Daphnia pulex: one gene and its partners. The protein of the gene in region 1 interacts with the protein of each later gene in a pairwise test. Links are inferred from orthologs where the notes say so. Each region holds a gene or a part of one and is shown on either strand. Other genes may lie near its edges.

Evidence for each region.
Region 2: the proteins of protein draper-like (region 1) and thioredoxin domain-containing protein 5 homolog interact in binary tests that used the Drosophila melanogaster proteins (3 or more experiments, as listed by UniProt). The link is inferred for Daphnia pulex from reciprocal best matches to the Drosophila melanogaster genes drpr and prtp.
Region 3: the proteins of protein draper-like (region 1) and tyrosine-protein kinase Shark-like interact in binary tests that used the Drosophila melanogaster proteins (3 or more experiments, as listed by UniProt). The link is inferred for Daphnia pulex from reciprocal best matches to the Drosophila melanogaster genes drpr and Shark.

The regions. Positions count from the first base shown.
Region 1 is NC_060025.1:1,677,555-1,687,856, reverse strand, and holds the start of protein draper-like, read right to left. Parts: upstream 6,273-10,302; 5' UTR 6,258-6,272; coding exon 6,064-6,257; exon of another isoform or gene 5,918-6,063; intron 5,844-5,917; coding exon 5,770-5,843; intron 4,612-5,769; coding exon 4,407-4,611; intron 3,794-4,406; coding exon 3,667-3,793; intron 3,166-3,666; coding exon 3,056-3,165; intron 2,852-3,055; coding exon 2,793-2,851; intron 2,569-2,792; coding exon 2,393-2,568; intron 2,272-2,392; coding exon 2,201-2,271; intron 2,125-2,200; coding exon 2,004-2,124; intron 1,871-2,003; coding exon 1,733-1,870; intron 1,494-1,732; coding exon 1,437-1,493; intron 1,276-1,436; coding exon 1,121-1,275; intron 976-1,120; coding exon 809-975; intron 599-808; coding exon 362-598; intron 299-361; coding exon 1-298. Other genes in the region: probable galactose-1-phosphate uridylyltransferase, read right to left, coding at 7,209-7,311, 7,566-7,782, 7,915-8,023, 8,237-8,465, 8,539-9,023; 40S ribosomal protein S12, mitochondrial-like, read left to right, coding at 9,433-9,499, 9,559-9,633, 9,693-9,928, 9,991-10,101. UniProt on the Drosophila melanogaster protein: Receptor which is involved in the phagocytosis of a variety of cells including apoptotic cells, severed and pruned axons, degenerating dendrites, salivary gland cells, germline cells and bacteria.
Region 2 is NC_060028.1:10,388,148-10,398,098, reverse strand, and holds thioredoxin domain-containing protein 5 homolog, read left to right. Parts: upstream 1-4,223; 5' UTR 4,224-4,523; coding exon 4,524-4,547; intron 4,548-4,613; coding exon 4,614-4,774; intron 4,775-4,833; coding exon 4,834-4,983; intron 4,984-5,035; coding exon 5,036-5,150; intron 5,151-5,218; coding exon 5,219-5,509; intron 5,510-5,580; coding exon 5,581-5,676; intron 5,677-5,742; coding exon 5,743-5,843; intron 5,844-5,907; coding exon 5,908-5,938; intron 5,939-5,997; coding exon 5,998-6,099; intron 6,100-6,159; coding exon 6,160-6,297; 3' UTR 6,298-6,359; downstream 6,360-9,951. Other genes in the region: pro-resilin-like, read left to right, coding at 2,834-2,857, 2,934-3,031, 3,093-3,537; tRNA (guanine(37)-N1)-methyltransferase-like, read right to left, coding at 6,690-8,051. UniProt on the Drosophila melanogaster protein: Possesses thioredoxin activity. Acts as a ligand for Drpr and is required for the phagocytosis of apoptotic cells. Binds to the extracellular region of Drpr and augments Drpr tyrosine phosphorylation.
Region 3 is NC_060024.1:9,938,031-9,948,404, reverse strand, and holds tyrosine-protein kinase Shark-like, read right to left. Parts: upstream 6,879-10,374; 5' UTR 6,677-6,878; coding exon 6,565-6,676; intron 6,487-6,564; coding exon 6,349-6,486; intron 6,284-6,348; coding exon 6,119-6,283; intron 6,042-6,118; coding exon 5,854-6,041; intron 5,771-5,853; coding exon 5,527-5,770; intron 5,467-5,526; coding exon 5,096-5,466; intron 5,038-5,095; coding exon 4,926-5,037; intron 4,841-4,925; coding exon 4,740-4,840; intron 4,680-4,739; coding exon 4,533-4,679; intron 4,465-4,532; coding exon 4,356-4,464; intron 4,289-4,355; coding exon 4,117-4,288; intron 4,048-4,116; coding exon 3,921-4,047; intron 3,861-3,920; coding exon 3,606-3,860; 3' UTR 3,373-3,605; downstream 1-3,372. Other genes in the region: riboflavin kinase-like, read right to left, coding at 42-144, 204-355, 424-523; serine/threonine-protein phosphatase 6 regulatory ankyrin repeat subunit B-like, read left to right, coding at 1,095-1,176, 1,245-1,330, 1,399-1,827, 1,893-2,078, 2,157-2,399, 2,499-3,071; facilitated trehalose transporter Tret1-2 homolog, read right to left, coding at 7,833-8,111, 8,184-9,013, 9,073-9,196, 9,262-9,951; RING-box protein 2-like, read left to right, coding at 7,137-7,305. UniProt on the Drosophila melanogaster protein: Following axon injury, required for recruitment of drpr and glial cells to severed axons and for glial clearance of severed axons from the central nervous system.

The DNA of each region.
Region 1 (10,302 bases):
AATTCACCGGTCCAGCCGCGTTGACAGAAACAATCGCCCAGGTTGTCGCACGAGCCGTCATTCTCGCAGTGGCAAACGTCACGACACTCTGGACCGTATCGACCTTTAGGGCATTGGGTCTCACAGCGGACGCCCCGGTAACCGGTGCGACACAGACACTCTCCCGTGACGGGATCGCATGCTTTGGTCGTCCCCTTCTGGCACTCGCACGTCTCTTCGCAGTTCAAACCGAAACGGCCTTCCGGACAGGTGGCATTGCATGCGTCATCCTTGAATCCGGCGCTGCACGAACATTCGCCTGGATTTTTTTTCAACAGTTATTTGATTTTCCCATTGGCAATTGATTTGACTCTGAAAATACCTGTGACGTGATGACACGAAGCTCCGTTTTTGCAATGGCACTGCTCCTTGCAGTGCTCGCCGTAGAATCCTGCCCGGCAGGGCGACTCGCAAAGCAGACCTGACCATCCAATGGGGCATTTGCATTGTCCATCCGTGTTGGAGCAATTGCCTCCATTCTCACAGGCGCAGACATTGGTGCAATTGTGCCCGTAACGACCCTCGGGACACTGATCCTGACAATCGTTTCCTATGTAGCCTGGGAAAAAAAAAGAAATAAATAAATAGACGAATGAGAGAAACAAAAGAGAGAAAGCGAAAAATAAAAGGAAATACAATCAAAGAGATCAAACGGTCCAACAACAACCGGAGAAGAAAATCGACCGGTTGTTGCTGTTGGTAGCGCCAAATAAAAAAAAAGGAAAAGAAGAAAATCAACTGGATGGCGGGTTGTGTTTTGGATCAATACCTGACAAGCAGACGCAGGTGCCGTTGACGGGGTCGCAATGGGCATCGTTCTTGCAAGTGCAGACGTTTCGACAGCCCAAACCGAATGTGTAGGTTGGACAGGGCCTCGAGCACGTTTGGCCGTCCCAGCCGGCCTTACAAATACATTCACCAGTCCACGGATGGCACCTTATTATATTACGAGAAAAACGAAAAAGAAAAACAAAGAGAAAAGTGAATTTTCAGACGAAACAAATCAACAAAAAGATGAAAAAACAAAACAATCAAAAAAGAATAAAACACTCGAAATAGACAAAATAAAAAGCAAACTTACAATTCAGTATTATTGGAAGAGCACGGACAGATCTGAGTGCATCCAGGGCCGTAAAGCTTGTCGGAACAGGCTCTTTGACCGCAATCGGGACCGGTCCAGCCTTCGGTGCAAGCGCAAGAACCGTTCGTGATGTTGCAAATGGCTCCATTTTGACACTGTCACGACCGCAAGAAAAACAACACATAATCAATTCAAAATATGTTCTTATTCTGTCCAGGGACAGAGATTCCTTGTGTCAGTCACGACAAATTCACGACGCTTTCTAACAACTAAATAAAAACAGTCTGGATTATATTATGTAAGAAAAAGTGCCAACCTTGCATGGCGTTTCGCAGTTCTTTCCGTACATTCCTGGAGGGCATTGTTCCTGACACTGTCAAACAAAACAGAAAAAAAAAAGAAATGAGGAAAAGTACTTAAGATTGATAGACAGGGATCAAAGCCAATAAGCCCGGATGATTGCGACGTGGTTACAATTTCCTCTTAGTCATCATTATTCTTTCTTTTTTTGGACAAGGAATGATAGGGGTTACACAATAGAAGATTGAATTATCTTTAATGACATTTAGAAAAAGAGAGAGAAAGTGAATAATTAAGTAATAGTATACTGACTTGATCGCCACGGTAGCCGGGCAAGCAGTGGCAAGAGCCGTTAATGTGATCACAACGGGCATTGTTGTGACAGGAACAACGTTGAGAGCACTGGGCACCCCAAGTGCCATCCGGGCATGGATTGGCGCACACTTCACCCTATATATAATACAGCACACAAAAGCCGGAAGTGGAAGCAGCCAACGAGAGAGAAAAAAAACAAATCAAATGAATATATAAAAATAGAATCGAATGGAAAAAAAGAGGCGGATGGTGACGGATTTTTCATTACCGTCCATCCGCTGGTACAGAAACATTTGCCATCGATGGGGCTGCACGTGCCCCCATTCTGACAGCGGCAACTGGACGCGCAGTTTTGGCCGTGGGTTCCATCCGGGCAAGGTTCATCGCATCTTCAAACAGAAAAAAAGGAGCAGCGGAACTATTTTTAGTGCCCCATAAATTATGATGATTCTAAATGAATATTACAGTGGTCCATTCCATCCGGGTTGACAGGCGCATGCTCCCGAAACAGGATCGCAATAGGCTTGATTCTTGCACTGTCGAAAGGAGAGAAACACAAACAAAAGGGGAAAGAAGAAAAAACAATCAGCAAATGGAGAAAATGGAAATGGAGGACATGAGAGTAGGTGCTCAGGGGGAGGTCTAGAGTATTATTACCTGACACTTGAGAGAGCAAGACTGGCCGTAATAGTTCTTGGGGCACGGATAGTCGCAGTGGAGTCCCTTCCAACCTGCCGTGCAGGTGCAACTGCCGTTCACCGGGTCGCATTTCGCTCCATTGAGACACGGACAGCTATTGCTGCAATTGGGGCCCCATTTGTGCTCAGGGCAAGCTGCATTGGAAACAAAAAACAAATGTTGTACTAGTTTTGCTAGTCAATTCTCCCCATATGTCAGGAAATAAAAGAGAAGATCCGGTTCGATAATCTGCGACCGCAGCAACGAGACTGGACCTGACCAGATCCTCCCCACCCTCCTTCCTCCGATACATAATCAAATAACAAAAAACAGCGAGACTGAGCTAGAAAAAAAAAAAAAAAACACGAGCATAGCATACCAATGTTGCATGTGGGTCCGCCATAGCCGGGCTCGCATTTGCAGTTGTCCGGTCCCACGCTGTTGTTTTTTTATTTATTTTCGGTGGTCGTCATCACAAAAAAAAGAAGAGTACCGAGAATAAAGAAACAACCAAATAGAACGGAAACGAATGAGATACATATATACACACATATGTATAAAAGCTGAAAGAATATAGAAAAAATCAAATTTTCTTGTTTCTGTACTGAGAGAAATGTGGTTGTGTTATTTTTTTTTTTTTACCAAGTTCCGTGCAGGCACTGCTGGCCACAAATGGGAACGCAGCTGCTATTGTCAGTCGTTCGGGCGTAACCTGAACAACAATCCTCGAGGACCCGGGTCTTCTCCACCGACTTGATTGGACCCCCCGAAAAAGAAGATGACACACACAAAAAATAAAAAGTTAACAAAAACGATGATCAATATTGAACAAAACCAGGGAAAAACATTTCATATTCACCACAACAACAACAACACCAAAAAAATTGGAATGGAAAAAAAAAGTTGGAAGCTGAAACCAAACGATTCGCTCCACCCCCTTTGAAAAGTCGTGGCGAAACGTTCGGCCTCAATCGATTCATTCGGAGAAAGGGACTTTTGGAATTGGAAAGGAAAAGTTTCATCTTTCAATTTCTAACGACCGGGAAAATCATCAGAAAGTCAACCCTCCCGACTCCCGTCCAAACTTTTCCCCTCCACTCCCGACGTCTCGTATGTTTGGCTATTCCAACACAAGCGCCGGACAGTCGCTGAACTGGTTGTCAAAGAAAAGCTTGGACACACAGTTGGGTCTGCTAACTCTCTGCGAAATGATATCCGGTGGATAAAATAATTGAAATGAATTCAAATTTTACCTCAGTTTTGAAGGCCACTTTATTGTGGACCGTGTAGCGTGAACACCACGGCGGGAAAGCCAAGCAGGTGGTGAACGTCCGGACTTTGTACGGCTGCAGATAGGATATTTTCACCGTCACGAAATATCTGGAAATGAGAAAAAACGAAAAAAATGTGTTTAGCGATTATAGCCAGTGCTAGGGAGAGACATGAGCAATCACGATGTTGAAGGAAAAATAATAATAATAATAATAATAATTCCGATTGGATAACGACGAATGAATCGCTGATTGATGGATCGACCCCTCTCTCTACTTTTTCACGCCTGGCTGGATGCATCCCTGATCAACTGTGTCACGCTCGAGCGACAGCAAATCCCGAAAAACGATCAAAAACTCTCCCGACTGAGACTTGATCCTTTTGGCCTGTCCCCTTATTACCATTTCGTCCCCCAGCCCCATCCATTTCCACCTCTCTCTTTCCAAATGTGTACAGGATCCACTGGGGACACTAGAATGGCTGATGCATGCCAAAAATCCTTAAGTAGATGGGGGGGTTCACCATCCCTTTCTTCTCTTGGAAAAAAGAAAACATTTGTGCCTATGCGGGAGCTGGGCGGGGGAACCTCATCCAAAACATCAAACGCTTTTCTTCCTGGAGGTAGGATCCCAACAAAATAAAAATCCTACTTTCCCTATATATAGAGCTAGAGAAACAACAATCGAAAAAATAGTTATTTATATTTTGGTTAAATTCTTACTTTTCTTGACGGGTGCAAATGTTGCTGCCGGATAAAGTGCTGGCCTGGCAAAGCTGGGCCAGCCAAACCAAGATGAGAATAGTCGTAGTCGCCCATTGTTGTTGGTGTGGTGATGGAAGTAACGACATGGTTGTTAGTAGTAGTTTGGTTGTTGTAAGTTGTTGACACGACCAAGTCCTCCCGACGGAGTTGAAGTTGTCACGACCTGTCAAACACACACACACACAGAAGAAGAAGAAATGGCGACTGTCAATATTTTTCTAAATAATAATCCGCAAGAAAAGAAGTTGCGCTGCGGCAAAGATTCAGAAGCAGCAGCAGCCAATTACGTAAATGATGGTCGAGATCACACACACTCGAGAGCTAACGGGCGGGGCTAAGTATGTGGCAGATGGATGACGTCAAAAAACTTTTTCTCCCCGAGTAAAGGATTATGTTGATACGAAATGTGATTATACATACAAGTCTTTTCGACTACTAGCAGCAGTTGCCAAATGGGCATAACCCTTTTACACAGCGATTTGTATTAATATACGTTTGCACGTCTACACACACACAAAAGATGATGAATACTTGATCGAATCTCTCCTCGACGTGTTGTATAGAAAAATAGGCGGCCGGGAAATTCTAAACGACAACTCTCAATTCAATTCAGGCTGACTGGCAAGAAGAAGACTATTGAAAAGAACTTTGGGGATTCTTTTACGGTCAGTCTCACACAGCAGATCTTCTCTAGATCCCCCCTCTACTCCACTTCCATCCTCAACCGTAAGTAGTGGTGGCTTTTTCGGGACTTATCGGCGGGACACGCACACTGCGGATATTCTTACAGCACATTCGTCCTCGTGAAGCTCGAAATAAAGAGCTAAAAAAGGGCAAAGAAAGAAAACCGCTGATGGATGTTTTACTTTTAAAAAAGAAAACATCTGCAGCAGCAGCCGGAAAGAGAAATGGAATTCATTGACACTTTAGGGGAGAGGCTGGAAAGAAAAGAGAGAAATCAAATTATGTAGAACAACATCAGCGTTGTTGTTACACGATATATGTACATTTACTTGGGTATAGACGCATCACAAGGGGCTGACAGTGTGTTTGCATCAATTCAAAAAAGAGCCTTTTGTGTGTGGGTGTGTGTTGTGCTTAATTGATTATGTGCTTTGTTTGCTCTTTTACTCTCTACGTTAATTAATGAATTCAGGTTATTAAAGAGGCGAACAAAATGTAGTTGACGTGGTTAAATTTGGAAGTGACGTGTGCTATATAACCTTCGCAAAGGACAAGATAAAACACCCCATTTTTCCTGGTATTTTCACAAGTTTTGACCTCTAACATATTATTACAGAAGAATTACCAAAATTCTTACCTTTGAAGAGTTCATCCACCTGAGAAGCTGCTCTGAAATGACACCCCCCAAACACATGTAGACTCGGATGATTTCTATAAGAAAATGGAATTTAATTTTTACCAGACGTGGTCAAACACACACACACACACACACAGAAAGTACACACTCGAAATTTTCTGTTTTTCACACTTTGTCTTGTTGACACACACCACAGGATAAAAATGGCTGACTGAGAGAAAATTTTTCCGTCCAAGTGGAAATGAGTCGGAGAAGTAGTTGGAGAAAGAATAAAATGGAAGAGAAAAAATGTACCCAAGAGAAAGCCAGCAACAGCAATTTTTGTTGACGATAAAATTTAGTTGTGTGTTTGTGATGGCCTGGACTGAACGAGACTGTGTGCTATCAGCAGCTTGTGCCAGCAACACACACAATACACACACACATGCCCAGTGGCGTCGAGACGGTGGTGCCACCTGGTGGCGATAAAAATCAGCTGATTGCGACATCGGAACTCGACGTGAGTCAGAAGGTTCGGCAGCCCAGCGGAACCGGACCGCGCTGTAGGACTCGTGTCTCGGCCTTAAGAGCTCACGTCGTGTTGAAGCTCAAGCGTGATATTATTATTCAAGGCCGGAAACAGGGAATCACCATTCACGTGACTGTTGGCCGATCCATCAATTGCTCAACGACAACAACAGCCCCCCCCTCTCACAAAAAAACGTGTCAATCCACCAGCCAAATCACACACAAAGCCCATACTTTTTTGAAGCGAATAAACTCTGATCCTGGCATCTGTTTCTCGATATTATTCGGCCGATCTGGCGGATCACATTGGAATATTATGTAGCTGCTCGGGTAGATATACATAAAGGCTCCTCCCACTCGACACACACACACAACTTGTGATTTTTCCCCTTTGCGGACGACTGCATCATAGGCTGCTGCTCTCACTCTTTTCTACTAAGACGAATATTGTTAGACGATGCTCTGAGCCCCTCAACGGCCGAACCTACCCAGATGCGGATGTATACAACAGCGAGGCCGGCGTAGGATCGATAAGTGTAAATAATCCAGTGTATCAAATGAAACCATGAGAATGACACGAGAATAGGAAATCGCAGACAGCCGCCATGAAGGATTTTCTTCTGGGTGAAAAGAAATCGATCATCCTCTCTATTCACAGTCTCCTTCTGCAAAGACGTCACTAACTGCCAGAATTGCTTGATTAATCTGCCCTTTTCGCTATAGCCTCTCCGACTCGAATAATTGAAACCAATCAATAAACAATTCGTTTATTTCCGGATGGGCTTTCTCCATATATATATAGATAGCCCAGCACCGCATAGCAACTGTAGTGTATAATGCCAGGAAACCGCATGCAAACTCTTGTGGTTTTCTTCATTGACTCGACATAAGAGTACTACGGCAGAGCCGCCGATGAGAAGGAGCCCTTCTTTTTATTTTACATCGGCTTTGTAATGAACGTCCGGTTGACTGAACAGTTTTTGAGCCGCTTGCTCGGCAGTTAAATCTCGTTGGGCCTGGCCGAGCATCTCGTACCTTGCGAAGATAAAGAAAGAAAAAACCAATTAAAAACGGATGATTCGACGGAGAGAGAGAGAGTTGTGTGTACACACGCATGCATGTTTGTTTGAAAAAAGGGGGGGGCATTTTTTGGGCAGACATCCAAAAGAGACGTGAAATAAGAGAGTCAATCTCACAGGACATAGTCAAACAAATCTATTATTCCTTCTGCTGATGCTGATGCTACTTTGGGTGGGTGGAGGTTAGGTTAGGTTGTATTTGATTATTACCCGACCATGAATTTCTTGACGGACGAAGATCGAAGTAACGGTGGGTAATACATGGCGTGCAGCTGCCAATGTTGATTGTTGGAAAGAGCCTTGCGGCCAGTGGGAGCCCCGTGCCAGCCCATGGAATATGGGAAACTTGTCCGGAACAAGTTGTCGTACTTGATCGTTAGGCGTTTCATTATTTCAGCCAACGAGTGGATCTCCTCCGACGTCAAATCTATTACAAGGGCCGAGTTAGCAAAGGAAAAAACCAATAAAGGGAAGCGCTAGACAGAGCGCTTAAAAGAGACGTAGGGGGAGGGTGAAGGGGAGGAAACGATTAACGATCTTATATGTGTGGTGTACGTACCACACATCCGGATCACGTGACGGAGTGGTAACAACAGCGTTTCAAACGGCCAGATAGCCCACCAAGGAACTACGACTAGCCAGTGGCTGTTCTGAACGACGATCCGTTCCTAAATAATATCAAGGCAATAGAAAAACATCAATCATTGGCAAAGTTGACCACCGAGGAACAAATAACACGGGAATCTATAGGAGCTCTGCTGGATAATATATATCTACTACTTGTGATCCCAGGCTTTTCCAATGGTCATCTCAGCTTAGCAAATCTAACAAGTTTACTTGATGGCAAGTTACATTAGATATATATCTTTGTAGTATAGTACCTGCTTCTTCAACTCGGCATTGATGTAATCGAGCAGCAAAGGTCGGCCGTGGGTCTCGTAGTATTCCCGCTGGTACGAATCTTTGATCCTCGGCTCGTTGGGCATGAAAGACGATGCCCAGATCTGGCAGTGCGGATGTGGGTTCGAGCATCCCATAATGGCGCCTTTATTTTCAAAGATCTGCACCCAATCGTACTTGACACCCAATTCAGTTCCTTGCTTAATCCATCTGCAAAGTTGTGTGTCATCCAATTGTTATCGCATGACCACAGAGATGTCGGTGACGTAAAAAGTCTTTTTACTCATAAACAATGGCCTTGATTTCTTCTATGCTCATCAGTGGAATCGTTAGGTCTGATTTAGGGTGGAAGCACATCACACGGCAAGTTCCCCTGGCAGGTTCAAACTTGAACAGTTCTTCATTTGGTTGATTGGAAGCTGCTGCTTCTGGGATGTCGGGCAACAAGGCAGGAAAATCATTGTCAAAGACAAAGGTTGAATCATATTCTGGGTTTTTCTCTCCATTGGGTCTGTTGACTCCCGGGCAGAGAGGATTGTTGAGATCAAATGGAGGTATTTCGTCTTCATGGGTTGCCTCTACCTGGCCACTCCATGGTCTCTTAAGACGATGAGGGGACACCAAAATCCATTCACCTTTGAGAGGATTATACCTGACGTGTTGATGTTCTGCTCCAATAAAATTCAAACCACAATTTAAAATACTAGTTTCTATAAAAACATGCAGAGTGATAATAACATTCGAACCTGTAAAGTTGAATTCGTCCATTTCCTCGGCGCAAGTTTCAGCCCAACGTGTTAGTCACCTGAAAATGGTGGCGATGCTTAAAAATTTTATAGGTCGTTAGTTGATCGCCACGTTACAATGTACAACCTGTCAGCTGCATGACGTCAGACAAAAAATTAAATGACTAAGAAACGGAAGCGACAAATTTGGCGAAAACAGCAGGTGTTCCAGGAAAAAAAAAAATAACAGGCACGCTGCCATGCGTAACCCATAATCTTAAATTAGGAATTTTCCTCACGCACATTTTTTCTAAGAATTTTTGTTTTCTTTTTTGTTGTTGCTTTCTTTCTCGATTAATTTGGCGCACTACAAGATATCGATTTATACAACGCCATCTAAGCAGAGAGAACGTAAACAACAATTTTCGTCTGCTATTTTTCTTGAAGAAAAAATGACTTCAATATTGCAAAATGTTTTCAGGCTGACTTCAAATATAATCAATTCAAGCAGAAATGCTGGCAAGTTAATTTACTGTTAATAAAAATTCAGTATTTAATACGCCATGAATGTTTTCCAGGGTTACCAATGCTCAGGCAAACACTTGGATGTACATCATCAATCCTCCAAAAATACAATCAAATGCTGTTTACCGGTTCGTAATTGTATAGCACTAGTAATTAAATGAAACTTTATTAAATACCATTATTGCAGGTGAAAGGTCTATGAGCAACCTACTACTTAAAATGCATTTGAAAGGGCCACACAAAAAAGTCAGGCCACCCAAGAATCCCCTCAGCGGGAGTCCTATGCTGAAGGGGGTGGTCTTGAAAACTGTCATCAGGAAACCCAAGAAGCCTAATTCAGCCAACAGAAAGTGTGTGATTGTAAGACTCAGCAACGGCAAGGAAATGTGTGCCTACATACCTGGAGAAGGCCACAATCTTCAAGTACAAAATCTTCTTTTCTCAATCATAACATGAGATTTAACAAAGCTTATTTCATCTTCCAGGAACACAATATAGTGCTGGTGCGAGTTGGCCGAGTCCCAGATCTTCCTGGTGTCAAACTCAAGTGTATTAGAGGTAAACATGATCTTGGTCATGTTATTAAGAAGAAATAATTCAATAGAACAGCAATCGTTGCAGAGCACTAGAATAAAATGGATATGTTTTCAGATCTCTCATATCTTTTGGTACCATTCTTTTTTTCTCATACATTCAACACTATTTAAAAACAAAAACAATCCCCATTTATTAACCTAGCTTTTCTATTCTAGCTTTCAGACAACTCAGTCCCTTTTTTTAAGAATAACGTCTACGTT
Region 2 (9,951 bases), on another chromosome or scaffold:
GAAAATTTAAAAAGAATTGGCTAGAGGAGAAACAACACATCCATTTTTATTTTTCTCAGACGTTTGTACGGTGCTGTACATAGAGTTCGATACATATCCTATCCGTCTGAAAGGGAAAGTCTGTGTGTATCTATTACAGGTGCGCCATTTCCCGTTTTTACTCATCAATCATCGCAACACTTACTTGTAAAATATACGTACAGCAACTATTACTTATTTCCTCTCAACACGACTTTTTCCGTGTATTTCTTTTGCCGCGGAGGAATGATACTATAGAAACCGAAATGCGTGGTTACACCTACATAGCGATAACGAAAAAGTCAATCGTCATGTTATACGTGTACGCCTAATTGAACGCTGACTGTATAACAAACTCGAGGCATGGGCGATTCGTATCAATAGATTTTCCGCGATTTCTATTACTTCCCAATTCTTGTTTAAACGTCCTGCATGTTACTATGTGTGTTGGTCTAGAAATGACGGGTGAAAGTCCAAGCTAGGAAATAATATACGCGCTGAAATCGGAATAATAACTATGGTACCGTCATCCAGGCTCCAGCAACTATTTGCGCAGTCGTTTTTCGAAATGGTTACGAAATGAGGGCGCCAACTGCGTGCTAACAGAATTAAATTATCTTGCCAAACGGTAAGGGCATCACTACCTGTTGTCCTCGGTTCGATTATTTCACGAGGTTTTGAGCAGAAATAAATTTAGATATAAGCGAAACATGTTTGAATTCTAATGGATTTTTGTCCCCACATTGTCATTGGTTATTGATGATGGTGTACACATCGGAATTTTTTCTTTCTCCCAAGCTCTGTTAATAAGTGCCGATGAATAAATCATCAACAGCATTTTTTAAAATTCCCACGGTGCAAAAGGGGAGAAAAGGCAAAAGTCTGTGCGCATGTTACGCCAACTCGCACCACTGTGGCAGATGGACAAACTAAGAATTTTATTTTTGCTTGACGCCTAAGCTTTTCTATCTAGCAGACGAATCTACGTCAAAGTTTTATTGTGAAGTTGTGTTTCCTTTAGAAAACCAAATTGAAATTAAGTTTTTTTAAGTTTTTACAGTTCGAGTGCAATTTGTACAGCACCTGTGTTCAATTACCAAGGACGTACGTATTCTCGTTTATTATTTACTTAACTACAACGATTTCGTAATGACAGATGCTGTGTAGATTTTTTCTTCAATGCCATGCATGCGGTTATCTATGATGTGATGTCATTACACACAATCGTAAGCAGATGAGCCTCTATTCAGAACAGGTCGCCTTTTTGGGATGGTCCCGTGTAATGATAATCTTTTTCCTCAATGACATAACTATTTCGTGAAATCTGTGACTGTAGACTTTCGAACGGTGCCCTTCAATTCCTAAAGATCGCAAATAATTTCGTTGACTTATTTTGAAAAAAGTTTGACGATGCGACCCTATCTGAAGGTGAAGATACATTCTCAATCGTAAAATGGCTATTTGAGTATTTGAATGGTATCTTTTATTGGTGTAGATAGCACAGATTGATCATAACCTCGTTGGTATGTCGGGTAGAACACATAAAATATCTCTGATTCTCACAGCTTACATGTCTCTTTCTCTATGTCGTTGAATTTATACATTTGCTTCTATTTTATTTTCAAGGCAATGTTATTCCGCGTTTGGAAAAAGGGTTGATCCCAGTTATATCACAGACAACACACAGCGTGTGGAAGGTGATCAAGCGTTAATAACTATACTAGTATCTCACAATATTCCACGGGAGGATAATTCACGAAACGACGAATCAAATACTTTTACAGTCGAGGTAACTATGCACTAAATAGAATTATCTGCGTTAAATCTTGTCTAAGCATCCTCCAAGTCTTATAGTCTCCTTTGTCACTCATTAGCGCGGAAACGTAAATCTACAACAAATATGATTATAAGTTGCTGCTTCGTAACTACTTCATTAAAGACGCTTGGGTTAGTAGTTCACGGTCCAATCGTGATGAATCCCTTCTCCAACGACCTCGTAGAATCCCCAGAATTTCCCTAATACGCTTACGATATTTTTCCCTTATAATTTCTACTGGGAGGGAATTTTTCAGATTGCAAATAATACGTTGATTGTGCAAATTAATTCATTTGGAAAATTACGTTTTCGACTTCAAACCGAAAATTGAGAGATCCAAACCAACAACCAAAAAAAAATTTCCAGACAATTTAAATTTCACGATTTCAATTGCACAATTTAAAGAAACGCCTGCCGGATTGAAATTGGCTTGTTGACCGGTCACGTAAGACTGGTTATTCGGTCACACATAAAGATCACACTTATTATTTTGGATGGTGAGAGAAAAAAAAATAGCAATAATTGCGCGTTTAATTGGTTTCGAATTAGGCGACACAATTAAGGGAAAGTATAACTTCCAATATCCTTTTCTATAATTTTTTGTTTTTGTTACCGTTGTGGTCAAGCGACAAACAGGCGAGCCGGTTGTCGAAGGCTATGCGAATGTATAGCTTGCTACTTGTTATTTTCCGTTTCACGCGATGTCACCGAGAATCCGAAACTCTGCGAGACGTTAGCGCCGAGCTACTCACGCATGATCCGGTTTTACGGGGTGAGCCAAGAGACCTTCAAGAGTCAACAAGACCCCTCCTTTTGGATAGTATCATTTCCCAGCGTCGCCTGTAACTTGCAGTAATGAGTAACCACAGCTGAAACGACAACAGTGCGACTAATGTATAAAAGGACAATGCAGTGGTTCTTAACAAGCACAGTCAGTTCTCTCAGTTTCCAGTCTCAGCTTCTCTCTCTGAAATCTCAATTTACTTTATACTTATCGTCATGTCTTTCTCGATGCTTACTTTGGTAAGATTTAATTAGGTTTATACCTAATTGTTATTTTTTTCACTATTCAAGTTTCATGTTAATTCCTCCGCACCAGATCGGTGCTACCGTTTTGATGGCACTCATCGGCTCATCACTTTCGTACTCGGATACTTATTCCAACACCCCGAGTTACTCTTACGCCTACCAAATTTTGTGAGTTTACGTTTCCATTTGACAAGAATTAAAGTTTACCTTTTTTTTAAATCGATACCAGGGACACTTACTCCGGCCAGGATTTCGGGCACGAAGAGGCCAGCAAATCTGGCAAAGTGAACGGTGAATACCGTGTTCTCCTACCTGACGATCGCCTTCAAGTTGTTAGCTACTCTGCCGATCAAAATGGTTACGTTGCCGACGTCCAATATGCCGATGGTTCATCCAGTCCAGCTTATGGCAAAGCTGCTGGCGGTTATTCATCGGGTGGTGCTTCCGTCAAGACCTCGTCGTACTTCAATCCACCAACTACTTCTGGCAATAGTGGATACTCAGTCAACAATGGTGGATACCAATACGGCGGAGCTTCATCAACAGGAAACAGTTACGGTGCTGGAAGCTACAACAATAATTATCAGAGCGGTGCTGGAGTGATGGCTGGTCAGGGATCGATGTACCAGCAAACTGCCTTTAAATCCGGTTGCGTTTGCCAGTGCCCAGCATAGATATAGCATAGTGCCCTGCCCAATTTCAAATTAACCTTACATAATTGCGGTCTTCGCTCATATTTATGCAAAACAAAAATGCTAGATAATATAATTATTTATTTGAAAGCCGCTCTAAAATTTTGTAGCTAAGGATATATTGTTCTTTCGTATATTAATGACGTGTGGCTTAAATAAAACATGCGGATCCCATTCTGTTATTCTCCTTTTTTTTTCTTTAATTAGGTTTTGAGCCTTTCTAATCCATTGTATGAAGAGATAGCGCAGTTTCAAAATGATGAGTAAACTGTAAAAGCGCGGTTTACAACAAGCCGTTAAATGTTGTAATTTTTGTTGTGACAATAGCTCATTAACATTTACGTGTTCCATATTCAGTCGACGTTAAAGAAATTCAAATTTCATGTGTAGCAACTTGTGACACAGGTATTTATTCAAGCCAAGCTTTTATTCATTTGCGTTGACGATTTGAGTGTCCGACAAAAATATTTCTGGCCATCGAAGAGCAAAGAAGTTCTGCTTTATGAGCAGTTTTAAAAACTTTAACGTTTTTCAAGTTGCATTATTTTATTTTACTTTATTAATAATCCATCAAAGTAAATATTTATAAACATTTGTAGAAATGTTTTTTAACGTTTTCAAATGCATCTCAAATGGCGCTACATAGCTGCAGGCAGAAAGTAAATGACAAGAACGACACCAGATGTAGTTTTGTGGTTTTGTTTTACTGTTTTACACCGAACGAATCTCAATCTGAAATAAATAACGCCCCAACGTCCAACGATAACTAACTTTAACTTGTTGTATTTCGAGCTGCTGATAATCTCCTCACGCTGTTTATTCTATTTGCGCCCTGTACTGCCTCCCGACTCCGGTATCGTATATCTAGCAAGCCTCAACTGAAAAATATTGTACGTGTCAGTCTCTGAGCATAACTCGTCATTCATACCGGCGTACTGCCAATTTTCAGTTACTATCAAGACATTCTGATGTATTTTCAGACATCATTTCGCGTACAAACATCTTATTTTATAAATTCACAAAGGTCTTTAGTTAAACTGTATATTTTCATTTTGTAGGACATGCAGTGCAGCATCTTTATAGCCATCATCTTATTGATGAAATGGGTTTCGGGAAATGAGGCCAATTCTGATACTAGTCAAGTTGTAAAGCTTGACGGTGACACCTTTCAAGCAGAATTACCCAAAAGCCATCATTTTGTCATGTTTTTTGCTCCTTGGTTAGTGTTAAGTTGGACCCGAAATGATTTAGAGTTTCATTCTTATTAACTTTTTACAGGTGTGGACATTGTGAACGATTGAAGCCAACTTGGGCTGAATTAGCCACTACTGTTAAATCAAAGTTGAATGAGGAAGTAAAAATTGCTGAAGTTGATTGTACTACTGCAACTTCTCTTTGCTCCCAACAAGATGTCACAGGCTACCCTACGTAAAGATTTTCCTTATCCAATGGTTCTTTTTCTAAAGTACTGAATTTACAGGTTGAAATTCTTTACGAAAGGAGTGGCAGAATCACAGCGCTACAGAGGACCAAGGGACTTGCCTTCATTGCTGACATTCATTAAAGAGACTCTAGGCTTGGCTGAAAGCATTAATGTACTTACATTTTTTTATCCTCATTTTTAGTTTAATATTACTAAATATTTATAATTCTTTTCGTATAGGAAAATGTTGTAGATACTAAAAGTGATGAGCCTGTTAAAGGAGCTCTTGATCTTTCTGAAGACAATTTTCATTTACATGTCGCCTCTGGAGATCATTTTGTGAAATTTTTTGCTCCTTGGTGTGGGCATTGTCAAAAAATGGCTGGAACATGGGACAACCTTGCACAGTCAGTTGGGCAAGAAAACAGCGTTACCATTGGAAAGGTTGACTGCACTCAATTCCGCGACTTATGCAACGAGTTCGAAGTCAAAGGTTACCCTACTCTCCTGTGGATTAAAGATGGAAAGAAAGTGCGGTTATCTATATAGTGTTTCCCCTTGTAATTCAGATACCTAATTTTACTCATGTTATTTTGTGATAGGTAGAAAAATATCAAGGATCGCGAACCCACGAAGACCTCAAGTCATTTATTGAGCGCATGAAGAAAGGCAATACGGAAACTGCAGATGCCAAGACCGTAAGGATGATAAAGAAATTTGAAATAAAATAAATGTTTTCTTCACTAATATAAATATTTTCAAAGGCTACTGTGACTAGTTCTAGTCCTGTTGTTCAGCTCGTCGGTTCAAACTTTGAAAACGGAATAGCATCAGGAGTGACGTTTGTAAAATTCTATGCACCTTGGTAAACCAATCTATTGGCAACTTAGAAATCGGGTTGATGATAAAATTTTTTTTTTTTTTTACAGGTGTGGCCACTGCAAGCGAATGTCCCCTACTGTAATTACATTTTTAGTTTTAATAGAGATTGCAAATATTTTTAATAATAATTTTATTAGTGGGACGAGTTAGGAACAAAGTTTGTCGGTAAAACCGGAGTTAAAATCGCTAAAGTAGACTGTACTGAGGGATCAAACCGACAGTTGTGTGCTGACCAAAAGGTATTATCGAATAATGTAAGTTACAATTCATGTAATCAATATTCAAAAATTGTATTATAGGTCAATGGTTTCCCCACCATGTTCTTGTATTCAAACGGAGAAAAAGTAGAAGAATATGACGGAAACCGTAGTTTAGACGACATGTTTTCTTTTGTCGCCAAGCTTATGAATGATAAACAAGCAAAGGATGAATTGTAGAACTTTTACCTCAAGTAAATATACTCTTGCCTTTTAAAAAGAGTAAAAAGATGAAAGGATAATGGATAGCACTCATGATTTATTTCATCCACTTGCATGCCAAGTTGTAACTTACACCAAAATAAGCGAGTAGTTGTAACCCTACTCTACGTCACCGCCCTTCTTTTTGTAAGTGTTTAGAGAAAGTGTTCATTATATGCCAGTGAAATTGTTTTCGTGATTAGGTTTCCAGAGTTTTATTGTTTAAATTGTCAAAAACATCAAAACCTAATCGGAAACACCTTTAGATACACCACCGTCGCCTCTCATCTTCTTCCTGCAAATGTTGAGATAAAACAGGTTAACAAATTAGAAATTAAAATAAGCTTTGAGTTTAAACTATACTTTAGATTTTATCGATCTTGTGACTCTAAATCCAGCTTTAGCCTCTTCGGTTCGGAAGTTTCCTCCTCCACTTCAGGTCCAGACTTCGTAAGTATTTCGATGGGAATCCGGAAGGACAATCGTAGCATGTGCTTCTTGGGTGAAACATCTCTAACGTCGACTAATTCGACGATTTGTCCATCTTCAATGGAATGTTTTAAAGATGATTCCACTTTGGTACGCATTTCAGAGAAGGCAGAAGATTCTTCGCAGAAACTGTATACATGAACGGTAATGTCTGGGAGTGGATCCAACTCGATACCCGCTAATAGTCCGATGAAGGCGTCGAGGAATTCGACAGCAAGTGCAGGAAGGTTCATCGTTACGTGGATGGGCTCTGTGGGCTTTCTAAGAAGGAACGATGACAACTGTTCACGAATAAATTGACGCCCATCAAGATTGAACGTTTCAACTTTCGCGACTTTGTTGATTCGAACGTTTTCTTTGAGCCAATGGTAGCTAGATGGGTTGAGATCGTTGGCAAAGACCTGGCACTTGCGAATCTTCGCGGCCGGAACTGAAAACGGACCCACTCCAGCAAAAACGTCAAACAAAACACAGTTTTGTGGTAACAGTTTGATGATGCGCTCGTGTTCCGTGCAGAGTCTTGAATTCCAATACACTTGGCTAAAGTCAAATTTGAAAGTACATAAATTCTCTTTCACCTCCGTTATAAAGTCAGTTTCACCCGCCAATACTTCCATTTGGAAGTTGCGATAAGTCGAGTCTATTGCCGAACTCTTGTTCACCACCGTCTTCACTCCAATCAACTTGTCAATCAAGACTTGACCAATCAAATTTTTGTAGGGTAGCAGGTGATCTCTAAGATTGAGGTGAATGATGTGACCTATTCGTGAATATGAGGTACATCCTTCTTTCCCCTCTGGTAAAACAGCTTTGAAGATATCGTCTATTCTGAAATTTTCATACTGTAAATGAAGACATGTTCTGGAGAAGTTGTCATTGTTCACGTCCAATTCAGAAAGTTTCGTTTGTTGTTCTTCACTCAATTTGTCCAATGTTTGAAATAACAGAGGGTCCAGCAGCAATTTTTTTCTCTCTACAGTGCCATCAACTTCAACAACTGGTTTTAGCTTCTCCATCTTGAGTAGATATTTTTTGAAAACATGCATGCTTTTCCCAATATTTTGGCTTGGGATTTCAACTGACGGTACATTCACTTCTTTTGAAAATTTTTCTCTGTCTAGTTCGGTCATTCCGCGAACATTGGGTAAAGACAAATCCATTTTGGTCCATAAACTACGAAATGGATAACTAGTTGGAACAGCTTTGGTTAGTCTACTGAAAAGAAATAGGCAGTTCACTCCCATCAAAACAAATGATTTTCAAATTATAATCTTAGAATAAGATGGTTGGCAATCGGATTCTTACCAACTAAATTAATCGTTGAAAGCTAAAACTTTTCAAACAGATTTATCAAAACCCGGCTTTGTATTTTCCAAGAGGTTTTAAATTGATGGGCAGAATACAGTACACAATAGACGAAACTACACATGCTATAAAAATTTCGTCTGCAGCGAAAGAAGTAGCCAAATTTCGAGTTTTGGACTTAAAAATGATAATCTTAAAGTTTTTGGATTCAGTCTTTCTGTCCTTTGCAAATCACATGCAAAAAAAGGAAACTTGTGATGACTAATGAAAAAGATAAATCCTTTGAGTTATTAATAAATAATAATTCCTTTGAAAAGTCGGCTTTGAAAACAGAACTGGCAACATCGAAATAAATGTTCCCGGAGTTGGCGTCTGCCTTCTACCTTCTTATTTCTTTGAATCTCATTCAGTTTGATGTTCTCGACCTCGCGTGTTGTACATAGGTAAAGGTACGACCATGTTCACGATTTCCCTGCGAGTTCCTGATTCAGCATTGCATACGGTGCATATTGGGTATGTATTTTCTCGCTGTAAAATTGTTTCCAGCATTCCGAATCAGCATTTACTTTTGATCAGTTTGAAGAAAATCGATAGCAATTAATGTAAGAAAACTTAATTGTGATCAATTGTAATAGTCGTTTAGTTTAACAGTCATGTTCAGTTGCTTTCTTATTGTATTCTTTTGTTAGTCGATAGCGTTTAATTTTCGAGATCTCTCACGTTTTATTTTTACAGCTTAAAATCTGTGTCAGGATTGATCCAGTTCATGAGTACCTCTCAGGTTTTATAGCCATTCCCGAATCCAATTTTAGTGCTTCAATGACATTCTCTGCAAAAGTAAGAATTTTTCTATTGCTTATTAGCTGTCCCCTTGAATTGCAGTTCTCTCCGAGGCAATGCAAAGTAATTAATAATTTTGTGGTCCAATACTTCTTTCGCTCCTTTTGTCCTTTCAGACCAGTTTTACAGTTTTTTTTTGTTGATGGTTGTGAATCGTAGGTAGTTTTGCATCTTCTGTACCTTCATAATCACAAGACCACCCAAAATCTCTCAAATATAAAACAAAAACAGAAATATTTAGTTTTTCATATTTCATTGCTCTTTACATTTTCTAAATGTTAACCTTCACTGATTTATGTTTTTATGGATTTGAAACTCATGAATTTTATTTTTGTTTTTTTTTAGATATTCATTCTTACAATGATGCCCTAGCGGAGGAAATGTACTGCCAGATTGCTGTCTGTTTGACAGCTCCATAACACAAACGCATTGCGTACGCCGAACGAGGGAGTATTGTTCGTCAGTCACGTCGGACGGAAAACGACAATCAGCATTTCCTTCATGGATCTTTAGAGGTAACCAGGATATTGTTTTGCTAAAAGTTTATTTTGATACTTGTGATTCAATTCCAGTTAAAATGGCCTTCCATTGTTCAAATCTTGCGTATCAGCACGTGGCTGATGTCCTGTGATACATCAGGCCAGGAAGAATCCTCATTTGGTAATATTTTGGGAGATGTTAGTTTTCATTTAGTGTGACATTAATTAATTGCGACGTGGTTAATTGTAGTTAATTTAGTGATATTTAAAATCAAGCTAAAAAGAGGATTTTTATATCATCACAGATTTGCTTTCCCATAATGTCGTCTTAGACTGCATGCTCCGGCTGAAGGCTGAACGTTTCTTCACATGTAGAAATACTTCAGAATAGTAAAAGTAATTATGTTATCTAACTTTTGAATCCCAAGGTAACACATTTAGTTATTTGGCGACTTTGTAAACGACAGTCGTTGGGAGGGGTTGAAATTTGTATATATCTCTCCCAAATTTCGCCAGTTTT
Region 3 (10,374 bases), on another chromosome or scaffold:
AATTTACAATAAACAGATAATTTTTTAATATCTTAGTCTACCTAAAGACTCATATGATTGTTCTGGTCTAATGTAATTTATTATGCATGTCTTGAGCAAACTGCCATAAAAATCACTTTCAAATTTATGTAATATGTGGGTTTCCTAGAAATGAATGAAAATGACATAAATTTTCTACAAACATAAAATAATGTGGGATGTACCATTGATTTTTTTACATTCTTGTAATAAGGATTCCAGCCAATGCTCATTACCATCTTGTAAACTGGACCACCATCAACTTTTGCATAGCCGTAATATATCCCAGTTTCCATATCACTTGGTAGAGTATCAACTACTTCACTCATGTAGTTTGCTGCATAAACAAAAATTGAAGGAACCTAAATTAAGAATAACTCTACGCACTTATGATCTTAAGTATACCGGTTGGAATTCCTAATTCTTTTGAACCTCTACCGAATCCTTTGACAACAATGCCTTTGGCGAAAAATGGTAAGCAACCAAGTGTTTTGGTAGTGGGCATTTCTAATTTTGAGGAATGTTAACTTAAGATTATCAAATTCGAATTTTGTGGAGAACGGATCTCAATGGGGGGGGGAAGATTTGACGAGAATGAAACTATCAAGTAACAACACAGAGACTATCAATGTGAAAATTACGCAAAACTTTTGAAACCCGAGTAACAGAGCACTATCTCGTTTAAGCTGCGCTCGAGGCTAGCAGATGACTTTCATTTTTTCCCCACAGTGAACGGTCATCAATCAATTAGCAATTTATAAATCCAAATGAGCTAAAAGTCTTGATCGTGGGTCTTAAACATATTGCAAAAAATTATGAATTACAAACCAATTACTGAAATAAATGTAAAATTAATGTTAGTTAAAAAATTTTCACATTTTAGTTTTCCGATAATCGATATCTGGTCGACATCGATACAATACACACTATCTAGCAGACCACGACAGTTGAGTGTAATATAAACAAAGAGGCGAAGAAAATCGTCAGTTGACTTATCAAAAAATCAAAACTTGCACATTTAGGGGCACAACGAATAAAAACATAGCTTACCCTTTTTCCACGTCCGAGTTGAAATCATGGAGAATGCCGAAGAGCTGGTCTATTTGGCAGTTAGTAATGGTGAATGGATGGATGAAAAATCGTTGCAATTGATCAAAAGTAATTTGTTCGTGTAGGAATTGTTGGAATGTCACAGATTTAAATAATTATGTTTGATCTATGTAAAGGTGTTGATATCAACAAGCTGTGCAGATCTGGAATGACAATTCTTGGGCGGGCTGCACAGCTAGGTCTGTTTTTGTTTGTAAAACAAGTAAGTTTACTTTATAAACAAATTTAATGTCTCTCAGACTTGTTTGGTAAACAACTTTCATTAAATAGGTTTTGCATAGCTCCCTACAATACAAAGCTCACTTTCCATTAACCAAGTGTCGTGGACATAGAAGACCTCACCATCATCACTCAAGTGGGAGTGTTACTAGGAAGCATCCAGGAACTTCATCTTCTGAAGATGATGATTTCTTTGATGGAAGATGCACTTCATTATGCAAATTAATGGAAGCACCTTTGGGAATAGGGATGGACCCAATTATTTGTGATGTGAATGTATCAGATTCTTATGGAAGAACAGCATTGCATTATGCAGCAGAACAGGGACATGCTGATATTATTGATGTGCTTCTGGTAGCTGGATCTTTTGTGAATGCAATGGACTTTGAAGGAATGACTCCGTTGTATCTTGCGTCAGCACGCGGGAATTTAGAAGCCGTCCAGGCGTTAGTTCAGCATTCAGCAAACATTAACTTAAGGGTGGGTCGGCCGTATTCATTTTACAAGTAAAATCTAAAATGCTAATTTCAAAATTAATATTGAAGGCCACTGATAAATCAACACCTTTGCATTCCGCTGCAAGCAGAGGGCAACTGGAAATTCTTCGGATTTTAATCAATCACGGCTCTAAAGTTGACACCCTGGATTACTCCGATCGAAGTCCTTTGTACGTGGCCGCTCAGCGTGGTCATAAAGACGTTGTTGAAGTTCTTTTACTAAAAGGGGCCAAGGTAAACGGGTCGTTTTAAAATCATTGTGTTGTTTCGTCCTCTGTGTAGATGAGATTGACGATATCATGAATTTAACAGGTTAATTTGGAAGAAATTCATGGATACACGGCATTGTGTGAAGCTGTTTGGCAGAATAATACCGACATGGCTGAATTACTTGTTAGCCGAGGGGCTCGTGTGACCACGCAGTCTCACATGTTGCTCCACTGCGCTGTAACACAGGGAAACACTGCCATGGCTAAATTGTTATTGAACGCCAGAAGCGTTCCTAACCTTCGCGATGATCATGGCAACACGCCTCTACTTTTGGCTGCAAAACAGGTATTCCCTTCTACAAAAGTTTTCACTATATATTTACTCTATAACTGAACTTTCTGTTTTATAATCTCAAATTCACAATTAATCTCTTTTATTTCGTAGGGTCATCTAGCGATGGTTGAGCTCTTGCTAGAGCACGGAGCTAACCCAAACTATCCCAACGCACTAAGCGGCGTCCACCCAATCCATGAAGCTGCCCAATCCATGAGTGATGAAGACGTGAATATTTTCGATCAGATTCTGGAAACTTTGCAGAAGTATGGTGGTCGTTTAAACATTGAAAGTTTTACTCCTGGTGATACCCCTTTGCTACGTGCCGTCGTACATCATCACCCTGAACTAGCAACGGCTTTGTTTTCACGTGGTGCCGATCCCAATCTCAGTTCACTCTATTCATGTCCTGTTGACATCCTAACATTAGCCATTCGAAATGGTTACACTAGTTTTGCTAAAGCACTTGTTCGTGGTGGTTTAGATTTCAACCGAATTCGCGTTGAGCCCGACAGTACCAACCATTGGCTAGTCCAGTATAAATCTAGTCCTCAGCCGCTACTAGATTCTTGCAGACTAGTTATCAGACGTCAACTTGGCGAATTTGTTACGCAAAAAATCGCAAATTCTGCACTACCCGAACATTTGAAAAGAACTATTTTGTTAAAGGAATGCGTTCGATAAAGTCTATCATTATTATTGTCAACTTATATATTTGGGTTGCCGCGTCATATTAAGGTAATCCAAACTGAATATTTTGGTTCAATTTCGAGCATCTGTCTCCTAGAAGTAAGCTGCGAGATTTATTGATGTTTTTCTTTATTGATATGTAAAGGATAAAACTTTTTTATCATACATAATCTTCGTGTATTTCCAGATCTGATAAAAGGGTCACCAAAAATTAATCTCACTTAAAACTGTAGCCTCGACTCGCAATTCACATAGCCTCCAAGTCACACATGCATGAGCAATTTTGGTTGATCTGTTTTCTTAATCACATTTTTTTGCGCAAAGGAAGATGCATTATGCATTTGTACATTCTGTGTTCTTACACCACACCCAAATTATGACATTCCGTGTCTCGTGATAGGAAATGAGAACAGTTTTAAAAAAGGCACCGTAACGGTTTAAGAATAAAGTCGTGGATAAAAGGAACATTTTGTCATTCAGTTTCTTAATTAAGTCATCTGCTGCTCAGCAGTAAAAATGCTCTACTGTTTAGACGTCTGAAACCAAAAGATTACTGTTAGATGTGTCAATGAGATTGTCAAGCGTTTGTTCAGTCGAAGCAGTCTGAAGTAAGTTTTTAACATTGTCATATTCGGCGCTAGAGGCAAAATGCTGCACAAGATTAGCGAACGTTGGACGATTATCCGGATTTTCCGACCAGCAACGAAGCATTAGTGAGTAGATATCATTAGGGCAACGAGCAGGTTGCGGCAGACGTGCACCCTGTGCGACTACTTCTGTAGCCTATGTGGGGAGGATGTAAAATTAAGTCGCAATCTCAATCAGATAGGAAGAAGATATTACCTCGGCGCCGGACATTTCTCCATATGGCTGCGTGCCAAAGCTGTACGTTTCCCAAAGGGTGACGCCGTAACTCCAAACATCGCTTGCATGGGAAAACATACCACAATTAATCGATTCTGGGGCATACCTACCAAATACCAAAGTTGAAATTGTGAATAATAAAGCAAAATTCTGATTGGATGTAAAATACACTTACCATTTCACCGGCCATCGTCCACCTTTTGATGCTGAATAGAAACTTTCTCCAGCACCCAAGACTCTTGATAAGCCAAAATCGCTAATTTTCGCCTGATATCGTGTTGCCAAAAGAATATTTCTGGCTGCTAAATCACGGTGAACAAAATTTCTTTGTTCAAGATAGAGCATTCCTTTGTATCAATAAACAGCAAGTTTAGTAAGGATGCGACATCACAATATAACAATTTTCAAAACTACCATCAGCGATCTGCCCAGCCCATAGAGGAAACTCGAACTGCGGACTAATTGTGTGGGGATGATCCAGCAAGTAGTCCAATAAAGAACCCAAAGCCACCAACTCTTGAACCTAAAATCGAATAAAGAAGAACAATATTACATTTCCTATCGTAAAAGCTTGACTTGGAAGAATTATACCATCATTAGTGGAGGGCCTTTGCAAAGAGCAATTAGACGGACAATATTAGGATTTCGTAATTCCATCATAACCCGTGCTTCGCGGAGAAATTCTTCTCGGTTTGATTCAATTTGATCATCACGCAGAGTTTTTATCGCAACAGGAATCTTGATGAAAACACTTAAATGATATATTAAACCGGTTGATTAGAATAAGAAATATACTACCGAGTTTCCATTCGATTGGCGCAATGATCCCCTATAAACGAAACCAAATTCTCCCTCGCCAAGTGTGTCGTACAACTCCAACTCTTCCTTCGTAACAATTCCTGTTCAGCAAATTAAGATTTACCAACAGTTTTTAAATGTGTGCCTTATTCAACCCCCCCCAATGTAAAACCATTTCTTTCTTACCAACGCGTTTAGGAACATCTTTTGACGAACTACAGACAGACTCGTTGGGTGACGGTGAACGACGAAGGTTTCGGTTTGGTAAGGGCGGTGGACTGAGTGTTTGTCTTGAAATCTGTTACAAATTTAATAATCAAATACTTCGTCCTACAAAAAAGCAGCCTTAAAATTACTGTTTTAAAAGCGAAATTGTCATCGACCACTGGCTGAGGTGGTTTGATGGGTCGTTGTAATTCGGCAGGGAGGCCATCTGCGTGATTCATGTAGTGACCCACGACGTGTTCGAGTGATTCAAGGTACGGCCCGTAATCGACGTAATAATACTGTCCTCTTTTGCAAATTTCAAAGTGAAAGACGCGTCCAGTGTAGAGCACGGAAAGAGCGTAAAATCCTGGCTTGCTCGCACTTCTCCGAACTAAGAAAAAGTTATCTTCATTGTATTTGGCGCTGCCTTCTTTCAAACGACGCTCAGTTTCCTGTCGTGAGATGGGTCCATGATACCAGTCCTCTTTTCTGGTGAACGGAAATGGAGGTTTGTAGGACTCTGTGATAAAACAGACCAATTTAAGGAAATCCATCAGCTTTGAAATAATGTGATCCATACCTAATCGTCGTGCGCATTGATAGAAACCATTTTTTCTAGCTAAGTCAGCGGGAGTTTGATCTTCTTTAGTGCGTGACAATGGTGTTACAGACATTGCCATCATGATTTTCACACAATCGAGATGTCCTCGACTAGCAGCCTCGTGAAGGGGAACCATTCCGGTCAAACGGTGTCGGATTTGAGGGCTAGCTTTGAACTCCAGCAAAGTCTTTAAGCATTCGTGATGATTGTGTATACAAGCATACTAAACAATTCAAGAGAGGTTAATCATTAAATAAGCTACAGGGAAGGGTATTAATAAATGATTTAACTACTGTTATTAATTACATGTAGTGGAGTGAGGTCTGCATCATCCTTAACATTGACATTTCCTCCTCCTTGGATAAGAAGTTTAAGAATCATATTATTCCCCAAAAAGGCAGCTAAATGGATTGCAGTCTGTCCAATTTCGTTCTTAGCGTCGATACTCCTGTAGGAGCCACCTCGAAGTAATTCTGATACTACAGTTAGGTTGCCTGTTGAATAATTGGTAGTGACCTTGATACTTGATACTAAGGGAATCTCAGACAGATGAAAAATGCTTGGCAATCACCTTCTTTGGTAGCTCTATGCAATAGATTACATCTTCCATGACACCTTGTATCAACAGGTGGCAAATCTTTTTTGCAAGGTCGGTTAAGTGGTCCAAAAATAGAAGAGCCCTCTTTCTGACAAAGAGTAATGAGAGCATCAAGGCCATGAACAATGTATCCATCTTCTGCAAGGGGACAAAAAATTTATAATGAATGTAAATTAATGTAAAAAAATGCTTCAATGGCAAACCAATTGAAAAAAATGCATCAGCCCCATGTCGATTTATTTGGTAATGCCTGGGCTCTCCTTGGTGACGAACACTTAATATGAAAGCTCCATCAACTGTGGGGCTCTCTCTCACCAAAAATAGTCCTTCAGAGTCATCTTCTGCAGGCATAAATATGGAAAAATAAGATCACAATTTTAATAGATAGGCTACAAAAAAAAATATTATTTTAAACAGACCATTAGTAAGTAGAGCTTCAGCCTCTTGCCTGTTGATTTTCCCATGAAACCACCTTAGGTCTTGGTCAGTTTCGTCTCTTGAAGGTCGTCGAGACATGGTATTGAAATTCATTTATAAAGGTTAAAAGAGCTAGATTAAAAGTCAAAATTTTTCTTCATGTTATTTTTATCAGAGAGTAGTCAAAGGGAGTTCCTTCCTGTCAGTGGCTGAACCAAAATTGAACCGAATATGCACTTGTGATTATAAGTCAGCTGAGCGAGCGCCGAGCGGGCTAGCAGACGACATAAACAATATCTCAGCATACAATTCTGAGAGCTCCTTTGCTGTGGTTTTCAATTTTTTACTGGCCCAAAATTCTGTGTTCATAATTCATATAGCTAAAAGTAAGCTTATTTTACCCATTCTTATCTTTTGATTATGTACCTGCATTCTATTGTGTATAGTTGTCAATCATATCCAATCAAACCTTAATGCAACTATTGCTTTCACTTCAATATGTCAGTCAATGTTAAAAATCATGTTAAATGTTTTTGTTTATTTTTTTACAGGTTTTTTTATTCTACTGCAGAAAATGGCAGATGATATTGATATGGAGAAATCAGTGGAAAAAACCACAGTTGGTAATGACTGTGTAGTCAAAACTGAAAAGATGTTCTCATTGAAACGGTGGAATGCAGTTGCTATGTGGAGCTGGGACGTTGAGTGTGAAATTTGTGCCATTTGCAGAGTTCAAGTTATGGGTAAGTCCCAATTTCAATATGTTTGTTAAGAAGGGTTAGAGACAAGAACTATTTTAAAGGAAAATGTTTAAAATTTATTTGTGGTTCTGGTATATTTACATTTCACAAAATATTCAGAAATTATCTGGTTTTCACATTTTCAACTAAATACTAAAGGGGTGGGGTGTCGGCAAGGTTGTAGTTATGGGGGTTGATGAGAAGTTTACCATTTTACAATGTTCTGTACCCTGCCTGATGTAGTAATGTACATAAATATTTTGGAAGATAAAACAATTAGAAAAGATTCGTAGTCTGCTGGGTATTAGGAGAAACAGTCGTATTTATAAATAACGAATCCTAATTGTTCTATTCCTAATTATAAGGCTATCTTTAAACTTTCCTGGGAAGAAATAAGGTAGAACAGAACAGATCATTCAGAGATTTGAGGAATTGAAGACATCATTTGATTAAAGAAAGGAATAGTCTTATGTACAAAAACATTGTCCGCACTGTTAAGACGTCCAACGTTGAAAAATAATTGGTCGCCTTTACAGCCTAGTAGATTCGATATCTTTTTTCGGTTTCTTTTCAAGCATACTTTTCTCGATACTCTCCAAACTGTGTCCCTTGGTCTCTGGTACGAAGAAGATAACGAAAAAGATGCTGATAAAGCAGAAGAAACCAAAAAACCAGAACGCTCCATGGGCGCCGATCGTCGCTATCAGGTCGTTGAAGAATTTAGTTACTGCGAAGCTGCAAGCCCAGTTGAAAGCTGTAGCTACAGATGCAGCGTGACCACGAACCTTGCTTGGGAAAATTTCTCCCATCTAAATTAGCCAAATAGAAATTTTGTTAGGATTGAATTTTTTTCAAACAGCCATCACATTTTAATAACGTACCATAAGCCAAGGGATAGGTCCATAACCGATGGAAAAGGCGACGATGTAGACTATGAATGTAGTCAGTGGAAGCCAACCGACGTGTTCGAGATCATGTTCAAGGTGTTGCAGAATGAAGAAGACTCCCAATGCGCCGAGGCTGATTGCCATAAAGAATCCGGATATGTTGAGTAAAACTTTACGGCCTACTCGGTCGATGACCATATTTGAGCCCAGTGTAGCCATAAAGTTAGCCAACCCAATAATGATGGAAGAGAGGTTGCTATCTACACTTCCGCCAGATTTTTCAAAAATAGACACGGTGTAAAAGATGACCGCGTTGATGCCAGAAAGTTGCTGAAAGAACATGAGTCCGAGTGAAATGAGTAGGGGCCGTAGGTAGGCAATTTTCAAAAGTTCTCTGGCTCCACCACCGACGCTCTGATTCTTGTAATTGTTTTCAATTTCGAGAAACTCGTCTTGAACGTTAGTTTTGCCCCCACGGAGCCACTGTAGAGATTCGCGAGCTTCGGTATAACGGCCTTTAGAGATGTACCAACGTGGTGTTTCCGGAATGAACCACATGAAAGCTAAAAAGGGTAGAGGAAGAGCTGCTCCGATGGCCGCCAATACTTTCCAGTCGATGTAGGAGCCCAGAATGTAGCAAAACAAGATGCCTATGTTGCCTATCGTGGTGGGCAACAGGCCCAGCGATCCTCTGACCTCCGGTTGAATAGTTTCACCCAAGTAGATGGGCAGCGTCAAGGTAGTAAGGCCCACGCAAAATCCCTGGATTGAACGTCCGGCGTAGACCATGGGCAGGTTTGTAGCAAACGTGATGAGTAACCAAGCTAGATGAAGAAAGCAAATATTAATATTTTGAATTCAATGACACTGTTGCGTTACTTACACAAAATGTATGGTGGCCCGGTAGCCATGATGGTCGTCTTCCGGCCAAAATGCTCGACAATACTTCCACCGACAATGCCACCGATTAGAGCGTTAAGCGGCATTAAGCTCCCGATCCATGACGCCTAAGAATTGAATGATTTCCAGTTAGTTTTTGTTTGGTATTAGGGATTTTAGTCTAGTTACTAACCTCTTGGTCGTTTACGGGAATAGAACTGTTGGGTTGTGTCATAGAAGCTAGGGCAGGAGAAGTATAGCCAGATGAGTACCCCTCGATCAAAGCTGCTATGGCCAGGGCCAGCGAAGCCAACACTTGAGGGAAAAGCCTTCCACGACTTTTGCGACTTGCGGGTTCCATTTTAAATGAAGGATCTGGGAACGTAATGATCTGTGAGACATTGGACAGCCTATCGTTGTCTTTATTTTCGTCGGGATTTTCCATTGCCATATTGTCTTCTTCTTTCGAGTCAGCTGGCATGATTGGATTCAGAGCAATCAACGATTCGCTGACGACCATTGAAGTGGAAGGTATAGCTAACGGGTCTTTTGAATCGGAATTGTTGAGTCGAGCTTGAGCCAACGTTTCAGCCAGCTGTTGGTAAACTACGGAAGTTTGATCGACAGTGGCTTCGCAGCTGGAACAGGAATAGGATCCAGTGGAATTGTCATCTTTAATCCACCGGTAACTTGAGGGTGAATCGGTGCCCGTGGAACTCAAGTCGCACCCACTGTCTCTGTTTCTAGTTTCACGCTTTTCGGCGGCCAGCATGATGGCGTGAATTTTACTGCTGTCTGATTCCATTTGGCAGTTTTGTCTATCTTCGGCAACAGCTTCGATATCGCACCAAATTGAAGGTTGCTGACCTAGTACCGTAGACATCTTTGGGGAGTTTTCTTTCACCTCCTAATCCACGTACGCTCTTGGACTCTCTGCAAGGTCGAAAAGTAAAGAAATAGGGTCAGCGATTAGAAACTGGGTTTCTCCAAAATCGCAAGAGAATCGGGTTTTTCCAGTTAAAACACATTTAATAATATGAGATTAATTAAAAAGTCATTTTAAACAATCACGCCTCCTTTTAAACGAATTAGTAACTAATTGTTAAAGCGCTTGGAATTTCAATCTTGCAACTTGTTAGACAATAGAATGGATTCGAGATTTAAAAATCTTAACACAGATGGTTTGGTTGTTTTAAGACAATCGAACGTCTTCACAAACATTTTACATAAATCGGAGTGTTATTTGACTTGGATTCCGCCGCTCGAGTAAACACAAAGTTACAAATAACAAAAAAAAAAAACAGAG